Linked DNA regions of Struthio camelus. The protein of the gene in region 1 purifies or fractionates together with the protein of each later gene. This does not show direct contact. Links are inferred from orthologs where the notes say so. Each region holds a gene or a part of one and is shown on either strand. Other genes may lie near its edges. The genes, in order: SGK2 and FKBP5.

The links.
Region 2: the proteins of SGK2 (region 1) and FKBP5 purify together in Homo sapiens (affinity purification with mass spectrometry; 3 studies listed by BioGRID and IntAct, with this or other methods). This does not show direct contact. The link is inferred for Struthio camelus from reciprocal best matches to the Homo sapiens genes SGK2 and FKBP5.

Annotation. Positions count from the first base shown.
Region 1 is NC_090959.1:5,804,689-5,813,127, reverse strand, and holds the start of SGK2 (serine/threonine-protein kinase Sgk2), read left to right. Parts: upstream 1-5,197; 5' UTR 5,198-5,307; intron 5,308-8,439. UniProt on the Homo sapiens protein: Serine/threonine-protein kinase which is involved in the regulation of a wide variety of ion channels, membrane transporters, cell growth, survival and proliferation.
Region 2 is NC_090965.1:5,058,520-5,065,823, forward strand, and holds the start of FKBP5 (peptidyl-prolyl cis-trans isomerase FKBP5), read left to right. Parts: upstream 1-3,904; 5' UTR 3,905-4,014; intron 4,015-7,304. UniProt on the Homo sapiens protein: Immunophilin protein with PPIase and co-chaperone activities. Component of unligated steroid receptors heterocomplexes through interaction with heat-shock protein 90 (HSP90).

The DNA.
Region 1 (8,439 bases):
CGGCACGGCAGGGTCGCTCCCTCCCTCGGCAGCTTCCCACGGTCCCCGCGGGACACCCCTGGGGGGCAGAGCGCAGCATCCCCGCTTCGCTTTCAGCCCTTCGTGGAAGAGCTTCGCTTGCTTTTAAGCAACGGAAGGACAGACGGAGGTTTCTTTTCGCCACGTTTGTTGGCCCTGGGCAGATCGCCCGTTTCAGAGCGTGGTCCGGGCAGTGATAACGCCCGCTAACAAGGACAGCACCGCAGCCCGACGCTTGTGTCTCATTAACTGTCGAATTAAATCGCTTGCAACAGGTCGGAAATCTGCATTTCGTGAACGGCTCGTCCTCCGCCCGGCGAGGGAGGCGGCCGCTGCCCCGGCCCGGCTGCACGGCGCTCGGAGACGCCGTTTGCAAACGCCTCCCGAGCCTTTCCTTCTTGTGAAGGGGAAAACATCCCACAAACAAACACACGCCGCGGGGGAGAAAACGAAACGAAACGACGAGCTCCGAGCACCCCTCGACTGAAGGAAGCTCTCGGCTGAGCCCTGCCTCGCCCCAAACGCTGCGGCCGGCCGCGGCTCGGCGCCGGGGCGGCGGCGGGATGCGACGGGGCGCATCCGTGCCCCAGCGGCTTGATCCACCGCAGGAAAACCCTGGCGGCCTCAAAAGCCACAACGCAACGACTAATCCTCTGTCCGCTCGTTGCTGGGGTGCCGAGGAGCGTCTGCAAGCGCCGGGACCCGCCGGTGCCCTTCCCGTAGCCCCGCACCCCAGGCGTAGCGGTGCGTTAGCAGAAGCGATTTCTCTTTCGATTTCCCCCCAAATTGTGTGCGAGCCCCCGTTAGGGGCAGCCTCAGGGCGGGGGTTGGGGCGGGAGGGGCCCGGTGCGCGGCGGCGGCCCCGCTGGCGGGCGGCTCGGGGGGCGGCGGCTGGCCGGAATCGGCTCCGGCGGGGGGGGGGGGGGGGCGCAGGGGCTGCAGGAAGGAGGTGGGGGGGCGATTTCCCTTCCTCGCATCAAATGAGCCCGCATCCCTCGCACGTCTCCGGCAGGAAGTCAGAGGGAAGCTTTTGGCTTGAGGCAGGTTAATTCTGCGTGCGGGAAAAGCATCCCACGCGTGGCCAGGCCTCAGAAGCGGGTGGGCTGAGGACAACCCCCCCCCACCACCACCACCTTGTACGCGTGAGGCTCCGCGGTGGGTCTCTGCCCCTCGGACAAGCCACCCTCTGCCTCCACCCCTCACGGGGCGGCTCCGTGCCAGGAGCCGCGTTTCTGTTCCCCTTCCGTGGGGAAACGCACCTGTAACTCATCTCCTAATCCTGCCCCGGCGACGAGGAGCAGGGGAGCCGCGATTAACTAACCACCTTGGTGTAAAACGAAGCCGGGAGACAGTATAAAGCGGCCCCCCCCGCCCGGCTGCCCGTCCTTCCCTTTGCACTGCTCCGCTCCCGGAGTCCCCGGCGGCGGCGGCGGCAGCAGCGGCAGCGCGGCGCCCTCGCCCGGCCCCGGCCGGCGAGGCATCACCGGGCTCCCTCCGCGCCGGAGCCTGCGGTAACGGGGCAGGGGGTAGGTGCGGGCTCTGGTGTCACCTTTCCTTTGAGACACCTCCTTCCTTGGTTTCTGTTGCTCTTCTTTGCTGTGACCTGCTTCAGCTCGGTTTTCTCCCTAGGGTGTTGTGAAGGGACCAGCAGGGGAGGAGATCCTCCCTGTCGTTCCCCCCTCTCCCTGCCCCTTGTCAGGCTGAGATAACCCTTTGGGCCCTGGGAGTAAGTGAGGAGCTGAGGACCCCTGGGAAGTTTACCTGCTTCTTTGTGCATCTGTATGCTGTGGTTTTAGGGTCCTCCTCCCTGTGTTCCCCCTTCAGGTTGCAGGAGGCAAATGGATGTGCCCAAGACATCTGCATCTGCTGCAGTGGTAGCACAGCTTGCTCACCTGTCCTTGCAGGTGGCTGCATCCATGTGAATGGAGGATGCTCACAGACTAACTTTTCTGATGTTTTTGTGTTTTTTCAGGGGCTAAAGGCTTTCTGGTTTAGGGCACAAGATGATGGAAAATGTCTTATGGCACTTTAGCTTTGCAGAGGTTTCAAGTCTAATTTAAACCTTTTTTTTTTTCTTGTGAACAAAAATGGCTCCTGCTCTGAGGGTATTTGGGGCTGTAGTAGGGTCTGTGCCTTTACCAGGATGGTGGGGGAAAGCCAGAACAGCTGAGGCCTCCTTGTTCCCTCCCTTGACCTGTGCCATGGGAAAAACCAGGCAAGTATGAGCAGAGACCATTGCTCGATATGAGGTGTGTGCACCCAGGTCCTGCCTACGAGCAGCCTGCCTCATGCACCAGCTCCCACGGGAACAGAGCTACCTGGGCTAGAGAGACAGTTCCCACTCGTAGGTCCTACTTCTGAAACACGCCGCTGTGCAGACCTGTGCGTGCACATACCTCCTGGGAGCAGAGAGGACACTGCCTACTCCTTTTTGAGCTGACGTGCACCAAGCAAAGTGCTCCCGGCCCGGCACCCTTGGCACTGCTCTGCTTGCATGGCTCCTGTCCTCCCTTGACCTGGGATGCTGGCAGGAAGGAGGATCTGCGGAGGTGGGAATCCCCTTTGCAAGGCAGTTAGGCCTCCGCTGTGATGCCTTGGAATAGGCTGTGCTGGATGCAGAGGATGACAGGGCATCTCAGTCTGGCCCGCTGTAGTTTCCAGCTGTGGTGAAGTCAGAGATCACTCTGAAAAACCAAACAGGCTTTGTCGTGCTGTCAGCTCTGCTCAAGCGCCCTCCTGCGCGTTTCTGTCGGGCTGCTGCTGCACGCTCGCGGCTGACGCATGTGCAGCGCCCTGCTTGCGAAACCAACACGCTCAGCGAGCTGAAGCAATAAGCCGAGGCTTTGTCCTCTAAACTTGTCCGAGGCTAAAATGAGTGCGGTTGTTTGTGCAGCCCTTGTGACTCGGGCTTTAAATGCGCACAGGCCAGGCCCAGCCTGCTGGAGCAGACATCCTGGTGCCGTGCTGATGCTAGTGCAAGTTGTGTGAACGCAATTTTGCCACAGATGTGCAGCCTTCAAGCAGGGAATGCAGTGAGGTGATCAAAACAAATCCTGAATAATGGCAAAGAATCAGACAAAGAAACTTTCTGAAAAGCTAGCATGATGGGAAAGCACGATTTCTATTCCAAATGGCTTTTTGTCTGTAGCTTTTGGTCATGTGTTGTACTGAACCTTCTCACTCTGGAAATGAATAAAACAAAGGCTTTCTCTGCACTGGAAGGAAACAGATTGCTTTATCTCTCTGTCTTTACAGTTCTTCAAATACAATAGGGACCTCTATTTGGGTTAGTCCCCCTAGACACCAGTGTAATATAAGATATTCATTATCATCATGCACTTGTACTGCTGTACCACCGAACAGAAACATCGAAGGGAGCTACAGTGAGGGGAAGGCTTAGCCCACTCCCTCTCTGCATGGTGGTTATGGTGCCAGAGCTCAAAAAGGCATAATTATGGCTCTGCATTTTACCCCGGTACGTGGAGTCAGTGACCTTGGCAAGAACAGCAATTGACTGTCTTGGCCTAAAGAACCTCGAATTCCTCAAACTGTATATCTAAGACTGCTCCCAAAAATATTTATTTTGATGGCAGCTGTATGTTTTCTTCTAACTGATGTTGTCCATCTGCTAATTTTTATAATCACATCTCTATGCCCTTTTGTGTATTCAAATCCTGCCTCAGCTCACGCTTCTCCTTTTCTAACGGCCTCCCCTTATACAGAGTGACCCTATTCTTTTTACAGCAACCCTTTTTCTTTCTCCTCTTTGAGCTGGACTCCCCAGGCCCAGCTGGGAGGTATATGTGCCAGTGTGGGGATGGAGAGGTAAATGGGTTGATAAACATGCAAGGAACTGTGATGCAATTCCTTTTTTTTTTTTTTTTTTCAAGGCTGTGTGACCCAAATGTCATGGTCCTGCTCCATGAGAGGGGCGGATGCAAAAGATCTTTTAAGTCAAAAGAAACCTTCCCGCATAATCAGAAAATGCCCTATGCATACGAAGTTTGTATTTCAGGCAAGGAGCTACAGGTTTCCTTAGGGTGGTATTAGCTGGTGGTATAAGGTAGGGCAGAGGGAAAACACATTTAGGGTGAACCACAGTGCTTATGCTTGAAGTAATCGGTCCATAGCAGCTGTGATTAGAAATGCTGTCCTTTAGCCTCTGCTAAGAAAAAAAAAAAGGGGGGGGGGGGAAGCAGCAAGTCCATCAGCATGCTGAACCAGGCAGCTGCATAGGAGTCCACACAGTGCACCGCCGGTCCTTTGCGGTGCTGGGCAGGTTTGGTGACGTACCCCAGCCTCTCCAGGGTGCCTGTTGCTGCCTTAGGCCCTGGGAGAGGATCCTGCGGCATGTCCTGCTCTTGCTGTGAAGTTCCTGTCCCTGCCATCAAGGAGGGAGGTGGGCTGGCAGACTTCCTTCAGGGTCTGTGAAGCCAGCACAGCTCCACGGAGGGGTATTTCTCAGCACAGGGAGTGCAAGTAGGGGGCATGGAGTGGAGCGGGGTGTTCACAGGGGAGATTGGAGGGGACCTGGGAATGCAAGAAGAGAGCTTACAGAGGGGACCCGGCAGGCCCAGAGGGGAATGGAGAGGAACAAGGAGCAAGTGTGTCATGCAGGATGGAGAACATGGAGCCAGAGAAATATTATGCAGGAGACAAAAATGAGGCTATAGGTCTGTTGTACCCGCAAAGCTCAAGCTTGGAAACGTCCCTGGATCTCCTGTCCAGCTAAGCCCCCATGCAAGGGCTAGTGAAGGCTCACACGTGCTGTGCTGCAAGGTGACAAAGATCCATGGTGGATGGACAACCTTGCACAGCTATTCCTTCACCAGCAAGCTCAGGTGGATCAATGATGGATCATGTCCAGATCCAGGACTTCTACCGGATCCCTGCTGCCTGGCGCTGCTGGTGTTTTGGAGGTGACGCATGCCTCATTACCTCTACTAGGACCTGGCATGTGACCCAGCATAGCTTCCAGAAAATGGAGCACTTTGTTCTAACCCTTTGCACTTCCCTTTGAGGTGAGCTGCCCTCCAAGTCCCTGCAAGGAGGTATTTTTTTCTCTCCCACCCCAGTTCCTGTGCCTCAGGCCCCTCTAAGTGATGACAGGGTAATCATTTACTTCCTGCCATAAGCCACTCCTTCAGACTTTCCTTTGACCTTCAGACTAAATCACCAAAATAAAAACAACAGGAGGGAGAGAAGTAAATGCTGCCTTCTGCAGCTGGCGCTGGGCAGCTGCCCACCTTCTCTGGCTCCTGGGAACTCAGAAGTCCTGCTCCTCGGCCGGTAAAGCTGATTTACTTTTTTTTATTGATGATGGTGACTTTCTCTGCTCCTAAGGACTTGAACTAGTTTAGGAGAAGCATAGTTTTTTGTGAAGGTCTCATTCCTTACTAGGGACTAGCTACAGAGAGGAACTGGCTCATGGGAGACCTGGTCCACGGCCACAGTGGGTCTAGCTCAGGGACAGCAGCTGGACATGGGGGGAGGTGTCTTGACTTCCAGAGTTGGGTTTGTTTCCCAGTTATGGAAGATCACATGAATCCCTGCAACTTCAGAGAGAGGAGAGTAACAGCCTCCTTAGACCCCCTGGAAATGCTGTGGAGGGTGGAGAGGTTCCTCGCTTTGAAATAGGGTACCCCAGGGCAGCAATTACCAGGAAACCCCTGAGCAGGGGGCAAAGCAGCTTTTGTCCCCTGCTCATGTCCTTAGTCCTGCTTCAACTTGTATTTCTGGGACCTGAAGAGCAGCCACAAGTGTTTCTGATCTTATCTGATTTCCTGACCTGGCAGATCCGTAGAGGTAGTTAGTGACATATCTTGCCCCAAGCAGCCTGTGCGGGCAGAGGAGGCTTGGGCTGCATTAGGAGTTTGTAGCCAGCACAAGAAGGACTAGTTTGTACCAGAAACTTTTGGCAGTTTTGGCTGTGGTCTCCCAGGCTGCCTCTCTGTGGCTGGGCTGCACCTCGTGAAGATCAAGGTTGCTGTGTCTAGCACCCCTTGTTTGGGTCACCCCTAACTCCCCCTTCTAGCAGAGCAGGCTGTTTCCATGAGACATGAGAGTCTGACACCAGAGTGGAGGGAATAAAGGTTCAGCAGAGCTGAGGACTGGCTACATGCACAAACCTATGTTTTCTGTTGTTTTATTCAGAGGGTATCGGGTGACTGGATGGATTTTAACCCAACAGTTACTGCTTTTGCACAGAGGCTCACAGCCCATGATAGTTCCTTGACCAGCGCTTGACCCAGTTTGGACTGGGCTGCTGCGGGATCCGGTATTTCACTGTTTAACTCTGTTGGAGATAATCTCTTGCCATGCCAGCACCAGTTGCTTCCCCAGGTTTCCATGGCAGATCCCCATTCCTGTGGGGAAGGGAAGGAGCAGGGCAGAGGGCAGGATGGGGGCTTAGCTCAGAGTCTTGGGGGCAGGTGGTCGGGTCGGCGTTCCTGGGGATGCTCCATCCACAAGCTTTCCTGACAAACCCAGTGCCGTGCCAGCAGAGCGGAGGCCTGTTTTTTTGCAAAGTGTAGCTGTAGGAGCTATCTCCTAGCTGTAATGCCCTGCTCAGTCCACCCAGGATGCTGCCAGGAAACTGCCTCTCTGCCCTCGTCCCTGTCATGCTGGTCACACCTGAAGGTTTGAGCTGTGGGCAGGAGCCCTGCATGTGCACCATGTGTCAGATTTACTTACAGGTGAATTTATCTCAAAATGCCCCATGTTTTGTTAAGAAAGCTCCCAAAACTTAGGCTGTAACACAGCAACAAATGCTGTTGTTGCTATTCCAAAATGCTGCTGGGGAGGAGAAAATGGCAAACGGGAGAGTTGCAACATCACCCGCGGACTGGCCTGGGCAGCTGGCGGAGGAGGAGATGTTTAGAGTCTGGCTGCTTCCAACTCTGTTATTTATTCTTTGAGATTGTGCCAACACTTCAAAAAAAAAAAAAAAAAAAAGCACTTGGGAGCAAGTCCTAGCTAACTAATTTAATGGTAGTAATAAGATCAGCTGGTATTTTCCTCTGAAGGTGTTAAAGGCTTTACAAAAGGGATTAGTGATGTTCTACCACGTTCATAGTTGTAGCAACTGAGGCACAGAAAGTAGCAAGTGTTGGTCACGACGGCCCTGTGGAACAGAAACCTGAGCCAGAGCGTTCTCCTCCTGGCTCCTTTCACTAAAACATGGAAAACCTCCCAGCACCTGTGTGAGACTCCTTGGCAAAATCAAGGGGGGATAACTTGGGCAGAGCCCTGCTTGTTGAAGCTGAAAGAGAAGGGGAGAGAAGAAAGGAAAAAAAAAAAATTAAAAACCCCAATTGGTCACCAAAAATCTGTTTAGTCTTTCTTGAATCCTCTAAAGTTGAGGAAATAGGCTGAGACCTTTTAAAGAGCTGTGCTGTGCTGTGCTGTTCTATTCCTTACAAAACACAGATAACTGAGTAGCCAAACATCTCCCAGTAGTGCCTTAAGCATTTGAGGTCAGCTTTCACTGCAAGTTGAAGAAAACTGTGCTCTCTAGGGAAATGTTTGTTTTAGCCTTATCTGGACCTTTCCCTGCAATTCCGAGTGCTCAGGACTGTGTAGTTCCTCTGCAGTGATACATTTATGATTATGGTTATGGATATTGGTATATAAAGAGATTAAGACAGGACAGCATTTTAAAATAGCTGAAAAGCATACAAAAGGTTATAAAACGGAGTAGCAATGAGAGAGAGAGGGAGAGGAGGTGCTTCTCTGTGTGTGGGCTGGGGCCGTTGTCCATCAGAAACGTCTTGCCCTGGAGCAGGCAGAAATGCAGCCTCCATAGGGGAGAGCGGCAGCAGCCGGTCCGGCCAGGAGGGCCGAAGCTCAGCAGCGCGGAGGATCCGCATGCCCCACCGTTCGTTTCTTTCTAGCGTTTGGGAATGTAAAGGCAGCTTTCCCCTCCCGGAGGTGCAAGGGAAAGTGTTTCCAAGCTCTGGCAACGTCCAGAGGCTCTGCGCTACCCCAGCGCAACCGAAAAATCGGCTTTCTGTAGCCGCGGCTTGCTCCCAGACAGTTTGCCTGACTTTGCCACCGTGGTCTGATGAAGCCCAGCCGTGGCAGGCGCCATGTGCACAGCAGGGGTTAAACCATCTAAGAGCGGCTAATCACCTCTGGACCGACCTCCAGCGAGAGCTGGCGCAGATATGCTCCCTGGAAGGCAGGGAAACATCCGCCCCACACAAAGGGCAAAGCAATGCTGGCAAACCCTAACGCCGACATAAGCTGGCCTCCGGCTTTACCCAAATAATTCAATTTTGTTTCGGAAATGAGTTTAAGCTGTGCCAAGATGTACTCTGTGAGCAGGGGTCTCTTTCGAAACCCTGATGCAGTCTCCTGGCCCGTCAGAGTCGGGGCCTAGTGTCAGCAACCCTAAAGCGACTTCCACCTCGGCCTGCTGCC
Region 2 (7,304 bases), on another chromosome or scaffold:
CGAGCTGCTGGCCGCTCCCGGCGCCCGCCGTGGGGCAGAGCCCTGCCCGGCCTGCCCTTCATCTCCCGTTCTTCTCCTTTCTTTCTGTCTTTTGGTTTTTTTTTTTTTTTTAATTTTTTTCTCAGCGGCGAGATAATCCAGGAAAATGTTTGCGTCCTTCCAGCCGGTGGAAGCGTCCCCGGCGGCAGCTGCCTGGAAGGAAGCGGAGGCCGGGCGCCGTCGGGCGATTTCGGGCCTGGGCGATGCTGCGGGTCCGGCAAAGCCTCCGCTTAAGGGTGCCGGGGGTTGGGGGGGGGGTGAGGCCGGGTGCCCTCCGGCTGCCAGATTTTGGCGAGGCTTTGGGAAGAGCCTGGCATCGGGGTCGCGACGGCGAAACCCGGGGGGGGGGATGTGAAAGGCTTTGGCGACCCCTCGTGCCGCCGCCGAAGCCCCGACGGGCCGGGGCCGCCCGGCCCCCGCGACCCCGCTAGCCCGGAGCGCCGGGCCGGCCGCCAAGCAAACAAAAGGAAAAGAAAAAAGAAAAAAAAAACCCCAAACAACCGATTTCCTTTGATCTCCCACGTGCTCGAGAGATTCACTGTGATGCGGCTTTCAGATTTGAAGCCAAACGGGAGGGACTTCTTTTCCCTCCTCTCTCTCTCGAGTGTTCAAGGCAGATTAACTCGGGTTATTTTTAGAAAAAGGACGAATTAAAAATATCCCCGATTCTGTATTTGCGCCCTCCGCTCTCGAGGTGCAGCCGGGGGGGGGCGCCCATCGCCGGGGGGGCGGGCGCCCATCGCCGTCGGGGAGGATCCCGCCGGGCTCGGCCGGCGTTTTGCGGGGTTTTGCGGGTTTTTTTTTTTTTTGCGGGTTTTTGCGGGGTTTCAGCGCGGGGCCCCCGCGCTTTTCGGGCAGGACGGAGGGGTCAGGGCGCCGGGCAGGACATGTGCGGCCAGCTGGATGGCCGGGGGGAACAGCCCGTCCCCCTGGCAGCGACAGCAAAGCCTTGGGAGATTATTTATGGTTTTTCTGGCTCCGGAGGAGCAGATTTCCTCCGAGCTTGTGTTACAGGCCCCGGGGGCCGGCGGCCGCCTGCGGGGCACATTCGGGACCCCCGAGCTGGCAGGGAGCCGGGGGGGGAGGATAAAGCATTTTGCAAACTTTCTCGGCCCCGGTTTCACCCTGGACGTGCCGGTGCGCAGCCCTGATTGTTTTGCAGAACATTTTTTTCCCCTGCGGCTCCTGGAGCACCCCGGGCTCGGGCTAGCATCCCCCGAGCGCTTATTGCCGCGGCATCCAAACGCCGCATGAATGAAAGGCTCCAGGGATAAAATACCCCTGGGATAAAATGCTCCGGGGATAAAATGCTCCAGGGATAAAATGCTCCTGGGATAAAATACCCCTGGGATAAAATGCTCCGGGGATAAAATGCTCCTGGGATAAAATGCTCCTGCACACCTGCAGCGATGCAAAGCACAGCCCCCCTCCCCGCCCGCCCCATCCCGTTTCTCCCTCGCGGGCACGTTTGCCCAGGGAGCGCTAGCGGCTGCAGCCCGCTCCGAGCCGGTTCGGCTCCCGTCCGGCCCCGGCCCCGGCCCCGGCCCCGCTCCGCGCCGCCCAAGACAAACGAGCGCCGCGAGGCTCCTGTTTTGCTCGAAATTCAAGCGAAATTCAAGCGAAATCCAAGCGCCGGAGCTGCGGGCTGAGGACAGCGCGATCTTACATAACGCCTGGGCGGCGATACCCAGGCACAATAGGGTGAAGCGAGGACAGAGCGGCTGCTTTCACCGTGAATTTCCTGCCTTTTGGAAGTTTGCGTCAGGCTCGCCGCTTTAATGTGTGTGTGTGTATATGTGTGTATTTTTTTATAATTGAATTTCCTTTTTAATGCGGCTGTGAAATTAGGAAGGGGGGTGGGGGACTGAGTTTGGAGCAGCGCCTCTGCCCCGGCTGCGAGGCGGGCGGCAGTAGCACGAGGACTCGAAAGGTCTCTTAAAAACACACAAAAATAACACTTGCCAAGTATTTTGCTTCCCCCCGCCCTTAAACAAACAAATCGACCGTTTTTGTGGTGCAGCGGCAACCAGCGTGGACCCCCCCCCCGACGGCCGCCGTCGGCCTGGGTGCGCTTTTCCCAGGCTTTGCCGTTACCCCCCCCCCCCCGGCACCAAAAGAAGCTGCCAGTTTGGGGAGGGCGCGTTTGGAAAGCCACAACGTTTATTTGGCAAGTGGAAATGTAAAGCCCTCCGAGGCCGGGCCGGAAATATTTCAAAGCAGCTCTCCAAATCGTGCGGCTGGGTCGCTGCCTCGTGTTCCTGAAAGGGCGAGATTCCCCCCCCCCAACCCCCCCCGGCGTTTCGGCTTTGTTGTAACGCATGACGCTGTCAGGAAGATAAATCTTCAACTTTTTTATTTTTTTTTTTTAAAGCGGGCTTTAATTTGAACTCCCTATTTCCAGTGAGTGCCGTCGGTGTCGAAATGACAGCTGGGGGGGGGGGAAACCAAAAATCGAATTCAGCATCAAAAAACAGGCGCGCAAGAAAGCATCGATAAAACGAGCCGTCCATTAAGCCCGTCCCCGGGCGGGTGTATTGGAGGAACGCGTGGGAAACGGGGAGCAGGACGGGAACGGGGCACACGAGCTCGAACGCCCGTCTAGGAAAACGCCCAGCGTGGCGTTTTCGCTCGGCGCGGTGGGCCAGCCCGGCGGCCTCCCAGCTCGGCCGCGGCGATGAGCTGAGGTCCGCAAGCAGCGGTAGGATACTTGTTTAAAATGCATTTTTATTTTGCCTAATCTCACATGTCGACGCCGCTCCTAACAAAAATCTTACCTGCTTTAAGCCGAGCGGTAACGTTTTTTTGCCTGTTCCAACAGTCGGCGTGTCCCCCAACAGAGTGCCTTTCCATCACTAGCTTTCAGACTTTAGCGCAAGTTTATTTTCCTGGTGGGCTGTGACCCATAATAACCCCCGGAGCGCTGCACGGCGCTGGGGTCCCCCGGGACATTGCACAGGGCTGCTTCATCCTCGGGCCGTTGCACGGGGCCTGGGACCCCGGGGGGCGCTTCAAGGGCCCGCAGCAGCCCCGGGGACACTGCAAGGGGCCACGGTGTCCCCGGGGTGCAGTGTGGGGCCGGGGTACCCCTGAAGGATTGCATGGGGTTGGTTGGTCCTGGGGACACTGGGTGGGGCCAAGATCTCCCGGGGGCCATTGCACGGGGCTGGAATTGCCCTGGAGCGCTGCACAGAGCTGACCCCCACCCTGGGGTGCTGCATGGGGTCGGGGTAACCCTAGAGTACTGATTGGCACCCCGGTGCCCCTGGGGGACATTGCACAAAGCCCTCGCCCCCCCTGGGCATTGCACGGAGCTGGATCCCCTGGAGCATTGGACGGACCCCCCCTGGGGCATTGCAAGGGACTGGACCCCCCCCCCCCGGGGGCATTGCATGGAGCTGGATCCCCCGGGGCATTGCAAGGGGCTGGATCCCCTGGGGCATTGCATGGACCCCCTCCCCCCCCGGCGCATTGCACGGAGCTGGATCCCCTGGAGCATTGGACGGACCCCCCCCGGGGCATTGCAAGGGACTGGACCCCCCCCCAGGGGCATTGCATGGAGCTGGATCCTCCTGGGCATTGCACAGACCCCCCTCCCGGGGCATTGCAAGGGGCTGAATCCCCCGGGGCATTGCACGGACCCCCCCCCCCCGGGCATTGCCCGCCCGGCGCTGGGGTCGCTCTGGCTTTGCCGCCGCTGCCCCAGCAAGTGCGCGGGGCGGGGCGGGGCGGGAGGGGGAGGACCGAGGCGTGGAGGGGGGGGGTGGGGAAAACCTCCTCATTTGCATAGCGCCGCCACCGAGCCAATGAGAAGGCGCTGCGGGCAACATCGGCCGAGACGGGCAGGCGGGGCGGCCAATGGAAGGCGGGAGAAGGGGCGGGGCGCAGCGGCCGGGGAGACTCGGGCCGGCGCGGGCGCGCGCGGTGCCACTCGGAGCCGGGCGACGCAACGGAGCGTGAGCGGCACCGGCGGGGCAGGTAGGGCCGGGCCGGGGGGGGGCGGGGGCTGTGTGGGCCCTACAGGGGGCTGGCGGTGCCCTGTGTGGGGCAGGGGGGGCATATGGGGCCGGGGGGGGGGCTTTGGGGGCCGGGGGTGCCCTGTACAGGTCTGTGTGAAGCTGGAGGGCCCTATATAGGGCTTGTGGGGGGCCCTATATGGGGCTGGTTGGTGGGCTGGATGGAGCTGGGGGGCACTGTATGGGTCTGTGTAGGGCTAGGAGGGGGGGCTCGTATGGGTCTGGGGGGATCCTCTATGGGTCTGTGTGGGGCTGGAGGGGGGCCCTCTATGGGTCTGTGTGGGGCTAGGAGGGGGGCCCTCTATGGGTCTGTGTGGGGCTAGGAGGGGGGGCTCGTATGGGTCTGTGTGGGGCTAGCAGAGGGAGCTTGTATGGGTCTAGGGGGGCCCTCTCTGGGTCTGTGTGGGTCTGGGGGGGGGTCTGCATGTGCCTGCAGCTCTGTGGGCCTGGGAGGTCCTGAATGGGGCTCTATGGGGCAGTGGGGGTAAGGGGGGTACATAGGAGGTTGGGGGGGGTCTGCAGGGGGTTAGGGAGGGTGCCAAGATCTGCACAGGGGGGCTCTCCGTGGGGCTGGGGGGGGTCTGACTGATCCCTTCCCTGAGGAGGGGGTTGGTGCCTCCGGCTGTTGCAGTGGTGGTGGTGGTGGGGGGACAGGGTGGGGGCCTCGGCCCCACAGCCCCCTCCCGGTGCCGGGACGGTACAGAAGTGGAGGAGGGCGACGGGACGGGACGGGGGACCGTGGGGCCTCGGCCAAGGCGAGGGGCAGGGTCGGCCCCGAGCCGCAGCCGCGGTTTGGGGCACCCGAGCCCAGGCGCGTCCCCCACTTGGCGTTGGGGGGCCCTTGGGGTGCCGGCCCCCAAGCCGCGCGCGCCCTGCTTTAGTTCGCCCTGCCCGAAGGGGCAGCGCCGGGGTGCTCGCGTCGGTGTTTCCTGGCTTTAGTGTGCTGTGTTTGTGATACCAGAGCCCCCCAAGGCCGCAGAAGCTGATGTCCTTGCCGTACTTTACTGCAAGCGCTTAGCCAAAAAGTTTAACTTTCTTCTTTGCTCTCTGCGAGAAATTTCACTTGTTTCCAGAATCGTGTGATGTCTTTATGCGAGTAGTGACCGCGAGTCATCTACTCTCGCTGCAGGCAGCCCGGTGTCTTTTGCCACCGGCTAGTTCTCTAAAACGTACCAAAACCTCTGCATCAAATAGGAGTCCATGTCCTTTAGTTTGTGACAATGGGGAACTACCCAAGGGAGGTTATTTTTTTCCCCCGGTTATAAAGGCACAGAGTTGTCATAAAATGGGGTTCCTCTGCCTCGTTACTAATGTTTTCTCTAATAACATCTGCCAAAAATATTGTATAGAATGTGAACATAAATATATAGTTTCACTTGGAGTAATTATAGCAGATGGCCCAAGGTTAATGTACTTATTTTTCTTTTTTTTCCCCCCTATACTCCTACTCTTTTCCCCTCCTCTTAGTAGACAGAATAGCTCTTTTGAAGCTACTATTTTCTAGTGTGCAAACGCATATTCAGATAAGCGTATTGTTGTCAAAAAAGAATATTTTACGTGATGAGCTAGAAGAGCTTTTGAAGGATAAATTCATCAGTCGTGCATTGCGGCTCTGCTTGGAGAGTTCCAGTTGAGGCTCTGGTGCTGCAGTCAAGTTTCTGTCTTCGCTGTGAAACTGTGCATGTTAAACAAACAGGGCTTTGCCACGGTCAGTTAATACTGCAGATGAGGCTGGTGAGCTGCTATTTTGTGGAATTTCCTTCCATCAGACAAGTGTATTGAATCTAAATATACGTCTAACCCCCCCCACCCCCGCCTCGAATCAGGATTTGATACTTTAGTATTTTAAAGGTAATGTTTGTTTAAACGATGGCTTTCCGTAATGAGTCGTTAAGCTGGATTCAGGACGTCACTGGGGACCAAATCTGTGCTAGAAACTGGGATTACAAGTAAAAAGTTGAAAGCACAAATTGTTCTTTCCTGCGAAATGTATTGGAGCCACATTGCTGCTTCTTCCTCATCCTGCCCCGTGAATGTACTTATGGGGAAGAAAGTTAATTAAATCTCCTAGAACTTTTATCCAGCTTTTATTGGCAATTTTCAGAGGTGGAATAGCTTTTGACCTAATTAAGGTATTTCTAATCAGAATATTAACCAAGGATTTGCTTTCAGTTTTGCCTGAAATTGCTGAACGTTGTCGTTTTGTGACCTGAAGTGCATAGATTTTATATTTGCAACTTAGTTTTATCCCGTTGGTACAACACAACTTGAGAGGATGTAAACGCCAGCGAGGCAGAAGAAACGCTTGCTGCAGTTTGTAAAGGGTTAACTAGGAGTAATGGGGTTGAGTGAAAATAACATTTCTGCGCTGCAGAAGAGTTTTACAGAGCAAAGATACTTTGCAGGGCTGAGGACTAGCATTGCAGCGTTATATAGGACATGATGAACGAGGACAGCAACATCTGAGAAGTTGGAGGCTGAAAGCAGAAGAAGGACGAAATGTTACAATAAAACTGCGTGTTTAGAGTAGTCGCAGGTAATCCTGTACTACGCAGCGTGCTTGCAAAAGAGTGGAGCCTTTCTGCAATGAGAGGAAAAGTGTTGCCGGTATGGAGGAAACTGGGGAGCAATCTGCCCTCCTTTCTGTTCCCAAATCCGGTTATTTTGGGGAAAGAGCTTAAACACCCCATATCATAATTATCTGTAAAATGAGGATCAAGATCCCATTCTCTGGGGTTCTCGTGACAGTAAATCGAACCACAAATTTTGCTTGGCTGGGCAAATTTGTAAATTCCCATTTACAAAAGGGGCAACTCCCATTTTTGGCTCTTCCCTCTTTGCAGTGCTGTAAAATACCTAATATCTTGTGCCTTGAGGCACTGTTGCTGCCGTGAGGAGGACGCGTGCCCCAAAGCAGATGGGAACGTGCACCCCGGGGCCCTTCGGCGGTAGGGGGACCAGGGAGAGGCGGGCGAAAAAGGATGACTGTGAAGGCGTGTGTTGTTCTCCTACCCTCTCCTACCTGGAGAGGAAAGGTGCAGGGCATCAGGAGGCAGCTGCTTGCGCAGGGATAATCAAGAAGTAGGGATTTTTAGGAGAATGACACCTACAGCAGAGTAGTATGAGAGGAAGGCCACGGGATGGGTGTTCTGGACAGGTTAAGCAAGCGGCGCTCGGGCTGGGGAAAATGTGATGATGGTGTGGGGAAAAAAGCAGATTTTGGTGGAATTGGTACAGAAGTTATCACTTCTG